Linked DNA regions of Oryzias latipes. The protein of the gene in region 2 interacts with the protein of the main gene of each other region in a pairwise test. Links are inferred from orthologs where the notes say so. Each region holds a gene or a part of one and is shown on either strand. Other genes may lie near its edges.

The links.
Region 1: the proteins of tmem159 (region 2) and coq8a interact in binary tests that used the Homo sapiens proteins (3 or more experiments, as listed by UniProt). The two-hybrid records come from large-scale screens. The link is inferred for Oryzias latipes from reciprocal best matches to the Homo sapiens genes LDAF1 and COQ8A.
Region 3: the proteins of tmem159 (region 2) and cacfd1 interact in binary tests that used the Homo sapiens proteins (3 or more experiments, as listed by UniProt). The two-hybrid records come from large-scale screens. The link is inferred for Oryzias latipes from reciprocal best matches to the Homo sapiens genes LDAF1 and CACFD1.
Region 4: the proteins of tmem159 (region 2) and gad2 interact in binary tests that used the Homo sapiens proteins (3 or more experiments, as listed by UniProt). The two-hybrid records come from large-scale screens. The link is inferred for Oryzias latipes from reciprocal best matches to the Homo sapiens genes LDAF1 and GAD2.

What each region holds. Positions count from the first base shown.
Region 1 is NC_019882.2:16,014,987-16,018,553, forward strand, and holds part of coq8a (atypical kinase COQ8A, mitochondrial), read right to left. Parts: intron 3,338-3,567; coding exon 3,209-3,337; intron 569-3,208; coding exon 483-568; intron 369-482; coding exon 228-368; intron 24-227; coding exon 1-23. UniProt on the Homo sapiens protein: Atypical kinase involved in the biosynthesis of coenzyme Q, also named ubiquinone, an essential lipid-soluble electron transporter for aerobic cellular respiration.
Region 2 is NC_019866.2:11,613,630-11,617,467, reverse strand, and holds tmem159 (promethin), read right to left. Parts: upstream 2,455-3,838; 5' UTR 2,348-2,454; intron 1,757-2,347; 5' UTR 1,722-1,756; coding exon 1,626-1,721; intron 1,552-1,625; coding exon 1,383-1,551; intron 1,301-1,382; coding exon 1,155-1,300; intron 1,086-1,154; coding exon 1,026-1,085; 3' UTR 537-1,025; downstream 1-536. UniProt on the Homo sapiens protein: Plays an important role in the formation of lipid droplets (LD) which are storage organelles at the center of lipid and energy homeostasis. In association with BSCL2/seipin, defines the sites of LD formation in the endoplasmic reticulum.
Region 3 is NC_019870.2:7,533,365-7,537,630, forward strand, and holds the start of cacfd1 (calcium channel flower homolog), read left to right. Parts: upstream 1-1,442; 5' UTR 1,443-1,902; coding exon 1,903-2,011; intron 2,012-4,266. Other genes in the region: ptcd2 (pentatricopeptide repeat-containing protein 2, mitochondrial), read left to right, coding at 331-552. UniProt on the Homo sapiens protein: Transmembrane protein which mediates synaptic endocytosis and fitness-based cell culling.
Region 4 is NC_019878.2:23,106,620-23,110,186, forward strand, and holds part of gad2 (glutamate decarboxylase 2), read right to left. Parts: coding exon 3,511-3,567; intron 2,108-3,510; coding exon 1,934-2,107; 3' UTR 1-1,933. UniProt on the Homo sapiens protein: Catalyzes the production of GABA.

The DNA.
Region 1 (3,567 bases), on a different chromosome or scaffold from region 2:
ATACTCTGAGCCACACCAGGATACTGTGGAGACACATCCAGACAATATTCTATTATTTTAATATCGTTTTTTAAATATTTTACAAATCTGTCCTGTTCAAATGTAGCTAGGAAATAATCAACACAACTACATGTTTAGTCTAATCTGACATAATTTCTTATAATTCTCCATTTTTTCCAATTCTTTTTTTACTGTGTGAGGGTTTTATTTAGTAATTTAATCCAAACCTGTATTTTCATGGCCACCTCTCTGCCGTCCTTCATCCTCGCCAGGTGAACCTGCCCAATGGAAGCTGCTGCAAACGGACGTTCCTCGAAAAACTCCAGCTTGTCTCTCCAATTTGGACCCAAGTCACTGTTTAGTGCTTTCTGTAGAGCAACAATAAACATGATGTTGTATCAATTTAAATCCATCAATCCTATTTTTCTTCACAGCATCTAAAATGGGCAAATTCTACATTTCTCAGGGGAGAAAAGTCTTACTGTCATTTGCTTGATTGGCATGAAGTCGGCGCTCTGTCGGACGCGCTCGAAAATCTTGGCCAAGTGTGGATTAATGAAGGCATCATCTGGAAAAAAATATTAATTATTAAGTCAAATCCCAAACAAACACTCTAAAAAAACACTAAATCTGCTCTAGAATTAATCAATAAATGTTATGGAAATAGTGTAGATTTAAATTTAAAAGCATTATTTAAACCAGTGTTTTTCAACCTTTTTTGAGCCACGGCACACTTTAACCTTGACAAAAATCCCGCGGCACACCAGCATCCAAAAAATAAAAAAAATAAGCAGAAATTCATGGTCTCTATTGATCGACAGCCCCCCCCCCCCCGCCGCAATCTCACGTGCTTTTTGTGATAATTGTGGCCAAAAAAGCAGGAAGTTGCGGCTGTTTTTTCTAAGAGATGAAATAAAAGTTAAATTAGAAAATTTAGAAACTGTTTGTCCATTGAGGTTTCTAGACATTTCACGCACACTCATTGTGCGCTTGGACACTGGCCCTTTAAGCCAATGCATCATGGGAGATGTAGTGTGAAAACTGCCGAAAAAGGGCAGAAAGACTCGCGTCTGTGAGCTTCATTGTTTTGTTCACGGTCTGACACCGGACTCTGTGGAAAGCTACACCGCTAAAGACGAGCTTTAGCTGGTATTTTTGTTGGAACTGAGAGACTTTATGAGCAGAATTAAGAACAAGGAAGTGAATACTTTAACCACTTCTGATTGGTCAGACTGCTGACATGTGATTAAGCCTTCAACAATGATTGGTGGAGACAGGTAAAGGGGCGGGACTTTTCCGCAAACCGCTGTAGCTGCAGGTAAATACCGTCATTCTTATCAAAATGTCTTTAATAGAATCAAATAAACACAAAGAAAAAGTAATTTTAAGATCTTTTATATTCCTCACTACTCAGTGTTTTATCAGTGCCTGTTTGGATGAACAAAGAGCTGATTTCCTGGAGATGGAAAATGTTTTTAGATCAGTGAATGATTAATGAGGGTAATTTCCCACGGCACACTTGACCATCTCCCGCAGCACACTAGTGTGCCGCGGCACACTGGTTGAAAAACACTGATTTAAACTATAAAGAAGTCGCTCTATGTAATCTGTTATCTAAAAAATCCTTACACAATCAGACAGAGTTAAAAAAAAGGCTCCAGGCTTTATTTTAATTACAACAAAAAGGAATGCAGCTTAGCAGCAGCTAAGGTTGGCTGAGCTCGTCACAGCTGCCGAGACCAACAATCGCTGCTAAAGACAGTTTAGACATCTCAAGGTTAGCTCTATTTTAGACCTGAGGATAAACAATCCTCTGCTAAAAACCTGCATCCATGCAATAGCAGATAAATTCCAACAGGGGGATTAAAGGCCACCGAGGACGTTTCCTTTTCTATCGTCCAGATGAACACGTGTCCAAACATTTCTGGAACTGCATAAAGAAGAGTGCGTCCACAGAAGCTGCTGTGACCTCTTTACTCATGATTTAGGAATTAACTTGTCATCGTGTAAAACGATAGCCGGGCCATTTTGCACCGAGAAGCCCCACATGTGCAGGGTCTGCATAGCAGTTCCCTGACTACTGCGCTTTCTGACTTCACTAAGCTCCAATGAAGAGTTTGCAATGTGTTTAGAACACGAATCCCGCTTTAAATATGCTCACCAGGCAAGGTCAGAGAGTGGGGCAACACAGCAAAAACAAAACTGTTATGATGTGTTTACTGCGGCTACCTGAGCCACATTCATGTCCTTCAGGCTCGGGTGTTTACTGCCATGAGCTCGCCTTATCTGTGATATCTGCAGTAAACCCATACACAGCTTGTTTTTATTCCCTTTGACTCTTACCTAATCTAATCTAACACACCAAAAACATATTGTCATTGCAAGTTCAATACACACTTCTTAACTTTTATTAATGACTAATATTCATGACCTACTAACAGTGGACTGAATGAAGATGAACAAATTTTACTTAAACATCCTTTAATTTTCTCAAAAATCTACTTTGTTTTATGCATGATTTCTCATTGTTCTTACTGACCATTAATTAATTTTCTGTAATACACTGTTAGCAAAAGTTTGACAACATGTTTTAGTACGACTTTGGTAAACTACAAAGACATTTTGCCATAGCATTATGGGTATTGTAGTCAGAAAACTGGCAGAGTGATACGTAATGTGCTTCAACATTATGAACTGACAAAGTGAATGCAGCAAGAAAAATGTGTGTGTTTTGTATTTTATGTAACAACTGAACAATGTTGAGAGTATTGTGAATAACATTTGACTTATCTGTTGTGTTGCACTTTTTGCAAAAGCTTCTTATTGCAGATAAGATGAGGAAAACCGGAATTACAAAGGTTTGCTGGAACACTTTCCATCAACCCCTCTGACCAATCACCTGCTTCTTGGCCCTTCTATGCATTCTGGGTAGTGTAGTCATGCCATATTATTTGAAAGTTTTGTCTACCTTAATGCATTATAGTTTCTGTTCTGTACATAGTTCCTGTTCTGCAGCAGAACAGGAACCTATATATGAAAATAGACCCATTCATCGGTACTGAGACTTATGGTCTGGAAAAACGGCACATTTAATCGCAACTAATAAAAGGTTTTAAAGAAACTGTTTATAAAGATTTCAATTAATGTGTACAAAATGACATACAAGACAGGTGAACTGATTCAGAGCAGAGGAAACCAGGTGGCTCACCTTGAATGCTGAGCATCTGTCCAAGCTTCAGGGCTGCTCCCCTGACTTTGCACAGCGTTCGGACGATGCGCTCTGCATTGGCCTCGGACAGGAAAGGGCTCGAGTCCAGAACTGATTTCTTATTTTCCCCTAAAAAAAAAGAAAAAGAAAAAAAATGAATGACTTGAGATTTAAGTTTTTTGACACCATACAATTCAATCTGGGATTATTTTAACGACAAGCATTCCTCTGCCTTTTATAGGTCAATTAAGGCGTAGGAGACCCTGACAAACAGGTAAAGCATTTACCCGTTATCAGCCGTTTTTTTTACCATTAGTACCCATCACACCCTCAAGGTTCACATTGGAAGGTAAGACCAA
Region 2 (3,838 bases):
TCCAAATAGAGGAAACGATTCTGGCCCAGTTGGTCAACTGACCCCATTGTGAGTTTGTGTTTTACTGGAGGGCAAAAAAAAAAAAATCTCCAAAACAAGCAGTGGCTCAAATGAGAGGTTAAAATGTGGAAAATCACTGAAACGTTAGTGACCTCATAGGAATGGCATTTGGAACAGCTTCTTTTCAGAGAACCAGAAGAGGAAAAAGCTAGTTTTTTCAGGGTTTATATAAAACCATTCAGTTAAGCTGCAAATCAATTTTACAAATGTCAGTTTAATGTCAAACAGTTTACTTAGAAAACTGCAAAAGAAGAGAAAGACTTCTTTGTAAATGAGACTTTTTGCAGCTGTCAGGGGCCAATACTAAGACTAAGATTACAGTTTCATTTAAATTGTTTGGTCTAAAGGCTTCATTTTAAATCTACGGGTGTGACCTGTGCAGGTAAAACTAGTCATCTCTCCTATATGCTGATTGATTGATTGTTAATAAAAGAAAGCAGTTTGTAATTTGAAAACACTTCAAAGAAAGGCAAAGATCAATTCAAGAAACTTTATTTTTAAAAAGAAACAACTTCCATTGTATCGTAAAAACCAAGATGGTGGATGTTTCTATTTAAAAAAAAATATAGAAAATTTGCTGAATAAAATAGAAGGAATGTCAAATCCAAGAAATGTAAAACATTTTAAGATCAGCAAGAAGAAAAAAAAAAGTCAAGGCACATCACAGTTGAAAATTAGAGTTAATATTTGGATAACTTTGAATAAGATGATTAATAACAGATATATACTTTGCTGTAAAGACATTGACTTGTAAAAAGACTCAAGCATGTACTTTGACGGATGAATTATCCTGTAAAACCTCTTAAACCACATTTTGGGTGTGGACATTCATGCATAAGTTAGTTTGGTGCTCAGCAAGTCTGTTCCAACAACAAACCACATTCATCAGGCTAACATTCAGTACGTTCAGATTGGATCCAAATCGCCTCAAAATATGAAAACTTTTAGGAGGACAAAGCAATCTACTACAACTCCTTTAATCCGGAAGTTTCATTCTCAGTCTTCTGCGCCTGGTTGACGCCATTCTGCAGAGAACAGAGTCCACCATTAAATCATCACCAGATATGCACGACGGATCAATGCTGCAGCTCTACCTTCGCCCAGTGTGTGAAATAATTTTTCAGTTGGCTGGGAATGGAGCTGATGAATGCATTAACGACGACTGAAACCAGCAGAGAGAACAAGGCGATGCCGACGAGGATGGACAGCAGGGTCAAGCCTCCAACAATCAGAAGGATCACTGGAACAGCAAAGTAGTGAATGCGGGAACAAGTCACCAAAAAGGAGGAAGAAATGGTTCCTTCTGAGTGGAGAATACCTACCTTCAACGAAAACAAAACCTGTTGCTGAAACGATGGCTGTCACAAGGGCAAATGTGAGGAAGATGCCAACAGGAAGGGCAGCCATGATGCTGAACATCAGCAGAGTGAGAGCTAAGAAAGGATGGCTGCTGACGTACTGGCCGATCCTCGTGGTCATCAACCGAGCAACCTGACGGAGAGAGAATTCAGCAGGAATCCACCAAAGAGAGACAACTTTTACACAGACCCGGAAATGTGCCTCACCCAGGGATCTTCCTGAAGGTTTTTCACCGAGGACGTCCATCTTTCCCACAGCTGCTGCATCAACCTGCTGCTGCTGCTGCTGCTGCTTTGCTGCATCGTCTCACACCTGAGCTGACTGACGACCAAAGTTACTAAAAAAAACAGTCATCACACAAATCATTACAAAACAACCTGGAAAATTCTAAAAACTAAAATTCAAATGTTTGTTTGTTTGTTCAAGAGTCCATAAAAATATGAAAGTGCATAAATATCAACCACAAAAAAGACAACTCCCATAGAAATCATGGGTTTACTAACAAAATTAATTAAACTCAAATGATTTCCTTTATCCCCACATTTATTCCCTGATTTTACGATGACATGGAAGATATTAATGACTTACAAATGTAAGAAAAACCTAAAAAAAATAATTTACATTTTAAGTCTTAAACTTTAGGAAACTATCAAGCTGCAACGTAAAAAAAGAATTCATGATTCTCAGTGCAAAATATGACTAAAAAAGTAGAAGTCAAATAAATGCAAAAATAAATTTGACAAGGCTCTCCCAAACATGCAGATCACCATGCCCTTTAAGTTTTGGGGCCCTGGCCTTCATTTATTCCTTTTAAGATGTACATTCAACATCTTCCAGAAAAATTCCGTTTTCATTTTATCGTTCAGAATTTTTACTTTTTTTCTCTCCAATAAGATGAACTAAATTCCTAAAGTTCCCTTACGAGTACCTGAAGCATGAAGTAATCCCCGTTTGGCTGTCAAATCGTCGCAGCTCACACTAATGCAGTCAAACTCAGAGGCTCGCTTCAAAGTATTAGTATGATTCCCCTAAGACAAAAACACGCCCCCTTTTCCTTTTTTGTCATTACCTGACCGATGGGGGCTTTTGAATCACTGCTGCCACCTACTGTTCACTAGGCAGATTGCAGTTAAAATTTGTACAATTAACATGAACTAATCAGCAAAGCAAAAGAATAACTGACAGCCTGACAGACTAACACCTTTTAAAACACATTTAGTTTAAAATGTACAATTAAAAAAACAATAACACAACCTGATTTAAGTGCAAAGTTTATTTTCATTAATGTGATGGCAGTTTTCACAAATGTATCATGTAATATGACACAAATAATTCAGAGAAAAGCAAAAACTCTTTTTGCCATATTGATTAGCTGTGCAGACGAAAGAAATTCCAATACTGTGTTACATAATTCCACAAATTGCTTGCACGATACAAAAGTCTCTTCTTGATGAAGCAGATTTTTCTCCACAGACATAAATCTTTAAAATAGATTACTAAACTGTTTTAATCTTAAAAAAAAAAACTTCATCTTAAACTAATCAAGATCAAGTATGGCTCCCAAAAATCTTATCAGCATTGCCTGAATGTTATTTTAAATTTGCCTTTCAGTAAATTCACGTAAATTCTGTGCTTTTTACTTCGAAAATGTCTGTTTTATAAAATCCAATTGTTAAAAATCACCTTTCATTGGTAAATAAAAAGAAAAATTTCAACTGACTGCATAAAACAAAAGACATTCGGCGCCCCATACAGAAGTATTAAAAATAAGAACACGTAAATCAAGGTCGCTCTCTAGTGACCATGTTGTGTAACTGCAATTAAACAATGAACTTTACAAACAAACATTAGCCCAGTTTTATACAAACTAATGTCTTGTACATAATTTTGTAAAATGTATTATTATCATTATTTGAAAAAGAAATCAATAATTTTTTCATCATCTGCATTAACTATACAAAACATTGCGTTGCAACAGAATTTGAAGCTTTTCCTTGTACATAAAATGTTTATTAGTCCAAACATGTTTCATCTTGCCTTTTTTTTTATGGCAACCATATTTTCTGAGGCAAACATGTGAAATAGCACCTAAAAAGAAGCAGATGCGATGAAAATACTTTATGTAAACACACATACAATATACTGCAGGTATGAGTTAATCCTTATAATACACCTTAACAATAAATATTTTTGACACTTCTTGGAAACATTTAAGTTTAAATTGAACGTTTAACTGTTGCTGTGCAGGCTTTCTAAGTGTGAAATTACAACAGTTCTCCAGAGATCCTACAAGGTTCCTGTTCAGCGTCTTGCTCCCCTTCCTTTAAAAAATGACTGTAATTTCCTACATTTGCTCCGCAGCTGCCGTTAGATGGCAACAGCAACATTTCTCTGTGAGAACAGAGACTGATTGCAGCAC
Region 3 (4,266 bases), on a different chromosome or scaffold from region 2:
TTTTTGCTGAGTCTATCAGGTGTTTTAGGCTCGTGTTTGTCTGGAACTTGAAAGGAGAATTTCAAGGATGATCTTATTTTTAAAGAAATCACAAAATCTAAAAAAAAAAAACTAAATATACTGTAAAAAAAAAAGACTTCTTTTACTTAAAACGCAAAGACATTATGAACAAAACAAAGCTCTCCAGAACATACAGTCTAAAATCTGTGTCTTTCTTTTTGCTGATTCTGTTTTTTTAGTTCAAACCAATGGAATATATTTTCAAATTTTCATCCAAATCTGAGAGGCAGATGATAAATCACTGCTATATTTGACCCTGGTCTCTTCCAGGTGGACCTGCTTCGTCTGCATAGCGAAGGCGGACCACATCACACAAAAGTGAGTCAGGTAGTGACTCAGCTTGAGCGAGCCTCTCAGGTGACTCAGCAGACCCTCGATGACATGCTGTGCCACACACCTGTGGGGAAGAGGAGACAAGCACCCATGGGCGAGGGGAGGAGGACCAGCCGAAGGACTCTGAAGCCTCTGAAGTCTGCTTTATTGTCAGAGTGAGGCCAGTTCTGCTCAGCGATGCAAATGTCTAATGTGGAGATTCACAATTTGGTTTATAAAAATGAGCTTTGTTACGACGCAGGTACAACTCACAGCAGTATTCATTGTACAGTTTTAAAATTGACCTAGAAAAACATAAATATTTTTATCACAACACTAAAAGTCAGATAACAGACTTTTGTTAGTAGAGATGTTTTTTTTTCCATTCATTTTTCATTATTAAACAAACTTTAACCACACCTCATGATTATTTTTGAAAAACCTCAACTTAGTAAATGTTACTTGAAAATAAGCTGCAGTTTCTTATAAAGACAGTCAAAATAAATCAGGCAGGGATGTATTTTGTATATCCTGTGTAAGTTTGGAGGGGGGTGTAATTGATTATTATATTTAATAAAAAAAATGTTTTGAAGAAGCTCTTTATACAAAAGACTCTTGTTTTTTACTCCAACATCGTTAAGGTTATGTCTTTCCAGATTCATGTATAATACCTGTACATGTATAAGGATTTGCTTCCTCCCACTCTCTTTTCTTGAAAAAAATTTTTTTTAATTCCAAGACATATATATATATATATATATATATATATATATATAAATCCCTTGCTGAGATGACTTGGTTACTTTTTTTATTTTATATAGTAAAAGAAGAGGTTGATGTATCCCACAGTTTTACACATTTTATTTTAACTTATTAAGAATAGCGTTTTATTTTGATTTGATTTATTGTCCCACAATCAAAACCATCCCAATTAATATTGAATTTATTTATGTTTTTTTCAACCCAAACGTCTGAAATGTTCAGGTTGACATTTTCTTCAGAACGGAACGCAAGCCACTAGCACAAACGGCAAGCAGTGTATATTGGAACGCACCCCATGTGTAAACAAACGCGTGACGTATGTCAAATCCCCTCCCACAGTGCATCTCTTTCATTGGCTCGGCTTCAAGTGAACCAGCTGAACCAAGCTTTATCAACTCAAAATTACAAAAAAAAAAAAAAAAATCCCAAAGAACAAGTTTACCGTTTTATAACAAGGGGCTGTAGTTTGAAAAACAAGCGAAAGTGGACTATCCTGTTACGGTTGCCGGTAAAATGCTTTTTAACATCTGCTAGCGCTTAGCTAGCAGTGACGGGAGAAGCCAAGTGGAATTCTGCTGGTGTCGTCAGACGGCTCACCCCAACACGTTTACACAAAGGAAAAAAATATATCTAGACAAACATATATTTTCTTATTTTTAATTGAACCTGGTTTTACTTTTTCGGAGCCCCGTTGGTGAGTAAACTAGCCAAGTCCCAGAGAGTCAGTTTGTTGGCTCTGGCTAACTTTAGACATTTGTGGAAAACACCATGAGCACCGAAGAGACCGCAGCAGCCAACAACACCGCTCCGGAGGATGATGGCATGACCTGGTGGTACAGATGGCTCTGCAAGACAGCAGGAGTTTTAGGAGGAGTGTGTGAGTAATTTCCAGATTAAGTTATTAGTTCATGTGGTTTTTAACAGTTTAATCCCAAGAGTACATACAAAATTATATGTTGGACATGTGTTGACTAAAATTTTCCATTTGGCTGTTGGTTTAATTAGTATATGATATTTTTAAACGAGTAAACCTTTGAGTTTGATTTCGTAAACTAGGCTTTGTCAATGCTTATTGTCCCCTCACCGCACTGGGCACCGCCTTTTCGGCGTGCCAGGCTCACTCCACCACAGCTGCTTGTGACTATGAGCAGATATAGATGCAAAGTCGCCGTTAAACGTCCCTTTTTGTACTTTCTATTGAAGAACACTGACTCACAAGCGCTGCCTGTGCAGATTTCCTGCTGATCAGCCGTTGTTGTCATTCTCAGTGACACTAGGATCACAGAGCCTGCAGTATCGCATGAACGCTGCAGATCCAGTGGGTCCTTTATTATTCAAAGCCTGGAAAGTTTTGAAGGAGCAGGGCGTGCTGCAGACTTTTTCCATGCTTTGAAACAGCTCAGGTGATGAGGCTTGTCATTGAAGCATCAAAGAAAGTCTGCCATTCTGAGATACACCTGCAAACTACAATCAAAGATTAATGGAAACCACTTTAACCAGTTTATTTATTGGGTTTCTGCTGGGTTTTTGGCAACATTTTGTTTCATTCACTGAATTTATAGTTTTTATTTTATTATATTTATTATCATAAGGGTTTGGATCAACCTACAATTTATTTATTTTTGTTTATCTTTCACCAACAACTTTGTTGTTTTCTCTTTTGTTACTAAGCCTATAGCTTTGGAAAATAAAATTGTTAAAGAGAAATATAAAAATATGTAAATCCAAGTATGCACACCAAAGGATTGTACAGATATTTATTTTTAACCCGAGTTTAATATTTTTAAAAAGTTAGTATTAGGAATAATCAAAATCAGAAAACTTTATTGATCCCACAGGGAAACTTGTGAATAGCCTACGTGCACGATAGAACTTCCGGTTAACTTCCGTGTTTCGAGTGTGAGGCCGACAACTTCCTGTTGGTCGTGTTATTGTTGTGGGGAGTTTTGTTGAGTTGCTAGTTTTGAGTAAATAGGAGCGGATTTCGGGTAAAAGAAAGGCGTTTGGTGTTTCAACGCGTGACAAAGACATCACAACATTGTTGTGTACCCGTGTGCGAATTTGTCAAAGTACAACAGTACTAATATAAGCTTTCATAGCTTTCCAGTAGATGTGTCGGTGAGAGCCGAATGGATGGTGAACACGGCGGGAGGACTTCACCCCAAGCAAGACGAGTCGTGTTTCGTATTTGCAGCAATCGGAAGGAAAATGCGTCATGTAAACACGCCGTTCGGAATACTTTGCCCCGGTCAGACTCGTTCGGATCAAAATTTCTTTCCGATCGAGATAGCTGGGTATACCGATCGTTGTTCATGTAAACGGTCATTCCGATCGTGTGTCACTGCTGCTCTGGGTTACGTCATGCATAGACGGTGTTTCGCTGAGAGAAAGCTTTGGAGCTCATACGGGACCGACCAGCGGCTCTGCGGACGCCCCGTGTAAACTAAAGCCCCGCTCCGCTCTCGCCCCGCTGGCTCTCCCCTCTCTTTCAACCCTCACGAGGGAGATGCGGGGGGGATGCGTGTCCACTGAGGTCTGGACCCGGCATCCGAACTCTGCGTTCGGGCTCCGGTGCCAGTGGACCGAGTGAACCTCTCTGAGCAGAGCAGCTGGATTTATTGATGTGTTTGAGGGGAGGGTGCTTTGTTATGTGTGCGTTTTGTTATGTGTGAGAATTCGGACTGCGAGCCGAACCGCCGCTCTGGGTTAGCGGCTGCCGGACTAGCGAGGACAGAGCAGAGCACACAGTGTGTGTGAGCTTTTCAGAGCAGAAATGCCGCTCAGTCCTCAGAAACTGTTCAAAAAAATCACGACACATGGAATTGTGTTTCTAATTGTGCCCCGACAAATAAAGGCTGATCATTTACGTGCAGCCAGGATGCAGATTGCAGCGTTTCCCACATGGTTTGTCCTGGATTTTGTCTCCATCAAAAGGCTAATGTTGTTAGCCTATCCTAACACTGGGTTGTTCTTCAGTTCTGTTCTTCTTCCACACAAAAAAGCACTGACATCAAGGATTAAATATAAAATGATGAGCGAACAGGCACTTCATAATATTCATAAAATTAATAAAAGCACGTTTGGAAGATCGCCTCGTATATTACCGAGCTGCTGCATAAATATGTGACAGCA
Region 4 (3,567 bases), on a different chromosome or scaffold from region 2:
AAGGTACACATCGGCACATATCGTCAAGTCATCACTTGTGCACACTGAAACACAGAGTTAAAAATGGCTTTGCATATCGGTTTCAAACCCTAAACGGCGGAGGTCGGCCGAGTGGGACTCCGCGGGAAATCAGGACGAAATCCGTTGCTTTCCGTTAAGCCGACGCCTGAACCACGTTTCCTTTCAAATAGCGAGAAGAGTCACAACGTTTCCGACACACACACACAGAAGAAAAAGCTTTTCAGGACTAATAAGATGAAAATACAGGATCTATATCAGAGATAGAGAAAATATGAATACTTTTACCTCACAAATAGTCTCTGGCTATATGTCTTATATACACGTATGTATACACAATGATATGTACTTAGGACATCTTGAAATACTATTTACAGTCCATGATCACATGTGATTGTACACTGATTGACCATGTTGAGTAAATTGTGCTTTTCTAACTTGTTCTAAAGGAAATGCTACAGACAATTCTCAGATATTATTTTCATTTTAATCTTTACGAAACACAGAAACGTGTGTTTTTTTTGTGGGAAATAATGTTAAATTGAACAAGTTTGCCTCATTTTCTATCTTTTCTTAAATATATTGCTTCAGAAGAAATCTCAGTCCTCAAATCCTTAACAATAAAGTTATTTTCTTTAATATAATTTATTTTAGAGCCTATCCAAAAGCCGAACAGTTTTACCATGTTATAGTTTATATATTTAACCTTAAATTCAATAAAAACATATATAGGTAAGATCTTTTTCTTAGCGTGATTATTTTGTATTTAGCTTAACGTCTGAGTCCTAGTCACTCAGTGTCATTGTCTTCTTGCACCCTGTTGTCTATTTTTCATGCACTTAAGGTGACCCACTTAGGGGCCACCTTGATACCTAAAAATACCTGAACGATGACGTTAGCTGCACGTACGGGAACTGAACATACTGTTCCAGGTGAATGGATTCAGTCATGGTTTGACTGTGTAGTCTGGAGAACTTGGGAGAAATTAAAAGGAGTTTCTGGAGTTATTTTTGGTGAAACAGGGTCAGCGGGAAAACCCCTCAATTGAACTGCACATGGTAGTTAACACGTAAAATAGGGACTTTAAATTCTGGAAGCTGAAACGTATTCTCATTGTGAAAGATCAAATAAAATACATGCAGTACCCAAAATGACCACCAGAGCGACAGGCTTACTTGATGTGAGATGCTATTTTGGCAGATGAACCGAAATGAAAGGTTGAAGCATGTTTGTGTCAATAAAGGTTCCACCAACACTGTCGAGCGGCATTAGTGCCAATAAAAAAGTGTTGCTGTCAGCATTAGCATCCAGTTTAATCTAGAAGTTGTGGATTATTCTCGCCAACATGCCAGCAGCTTGCGTCATCGGTAAATAGTGTAAATGTTCCGGTGTCCTAACCATGCACGACCCGGCTAAACGTTACAGACGGTTTGGAATTGTCCCTGTTTGTGCAGACGTGGGGGCAGTTGAAGAAGCCGAGGTAAAAGTGAAGAACCCAAAGCCTCCACAGATCACAACCACATTTGGCACTTTACCGCGTACTCTGCAAACGAGGAAGGAAAAAAGACAAAAACCCTCTTCCTCTGTGACTGACAGGCATGTCAACCCACAAAAAAGTACACAAATAGTTACGTCACTTAACACAACTCCCACTACACAATGAGAAAGGCAGACAGAAGCACTTTTACAAAGCTCTGGACCCGCTTGGTCCACGGCAAAGCTGCAATACTTAATATATGGACATATTTGTAGATATTTTTCTCAAATGTAATCTTAAATATATATATATGTATATATATATATATATATATATATATATATATATATGACTTGCAGGAAAGAGAGAGAAAAAAAACGTTACCAGTACATTCACGACAAATATTTCATCCGCCAAGGGGAAAAAGAATTTAGAGTCTTATAGATCATGGCCGAGGCGTTCAATCTCTTCGATAAGAAAGTCGATGTCCTCGAAGGTAGCAGCGGGATTTGAGATGACCATGCGGAAGAAGTTGACCTTGTCTCCTTGCGGTTGGTAGCTGACCATAGTTGTGCCGTACTCCATCATCCGGGCTTTTATGACGGGAGCCACCTGACAACATGCAGCAGTCAGAGTACAGATTACTCGCACAAGAGAGAAGGATTGGGGAGGAGTTCATGAGGATGGTAGTTCATGATGAAGATCAGTTTGATTTCTGAGAATGAAAGACCCAACCCAATGAAAATAATTTTCTTTTTTGTGGCATTTTCTAATTAAAATTGCATTTCTGAGTTTTTTTTGTTGTTTAAATCAGACAAAAATTGCTGTTTGAAAAAGCGTGTATATACATACAAGCTTCAAACGACGGGTCATAAGCTCTCTGCTCTGCTCCATTCTGATGCGTCCACTGTCAGACAAATAGATCCATGAACGATCCCTCTGCTCGGATCTGGATCTAAACTGTTTAGCTGGATAGTTCTGATATTTCCGCCATTTTTGCTGCACCGCTAATGCCAGCTTGTGGTTGAGAGGGGCTGTAAAAATAGCAGGACAGAGTGTTGGGAAAGGGGGGCGGGCTTACTCTGCGCTAACAGTCCCGGCCACAACTCAGAGGTGAATTTCTAATAAACTCCTACTGCTTTGCACAAATTATGTTCTAGAAAAACGACTTCTGATTTAAGCTTTAGAGGGAATAATAATAGGCTGACTGGGAACGCTTTGGAAATAGATCAAAAGATGATCGTAGTCGAACTTTAAACGCACAAACAAAAGCAGATTTCATAGCTGCCATGTTAAAATCTCAGTAAAGATGACACAAAGACAAAAAAAGGCATTCTGGACAGCTGGAAGATGGACATGTAGGTCTGAAAGGCGAGGAATTAGATCTTTTTTCCAATCCTGACATTTTTCCATCTGCGCCTGATTCACAACGATTTTTAATAAAGAAATACTCAGAAATGCAGTTTTAGCTTAATTATTTTATGTAAATGTCCTCCATCATCACAAAAATGCCACAAGAACATGCCAAAATCACCAAAAACACAGTTTTTTTTATCAGAGTGGGTCTTCAAGAAGTTAAACTTATTCAGAGAACCGTTTATCTGGCAGTGGTTAGAACAGATCTGGGGTGGAGAAAATGGGCCTATTCTTTTATAAAAAAATAAAGACTTCCTCCACAAAGCTTTAATCTGTCAACACGATTGAGCGGGAATTCATAACATCAGCCCAGCTTTAAAGTAGGAAACGGCAGCATCTGCAGATTTATGACAACGACGTGGGTTTCACAGAGGCTCAGAGAGCGCCGCGATCTCACACTCGCTCCATCCCTTTGGGCTAATTTTCAATTAGAGCGGCTGTGCTGCTGCTGGGATGCTCAGGACGGTCACAGGAAAAGTTCAGCCCCTCCTCTCCTTCATTAGAAGGATGCGGCGCTGACGGTGACAGACCCGCAGGGGCCTGTGCAGGTCTGTTTGGGGCAGATACCACCGTCAGCCGTCTTATCTGGGCTCACCCACCTTGTGCAAGCGTTTCTTTTTTTCATCCTTGTCCTCTATGTAGCGCATCCCGGGGGG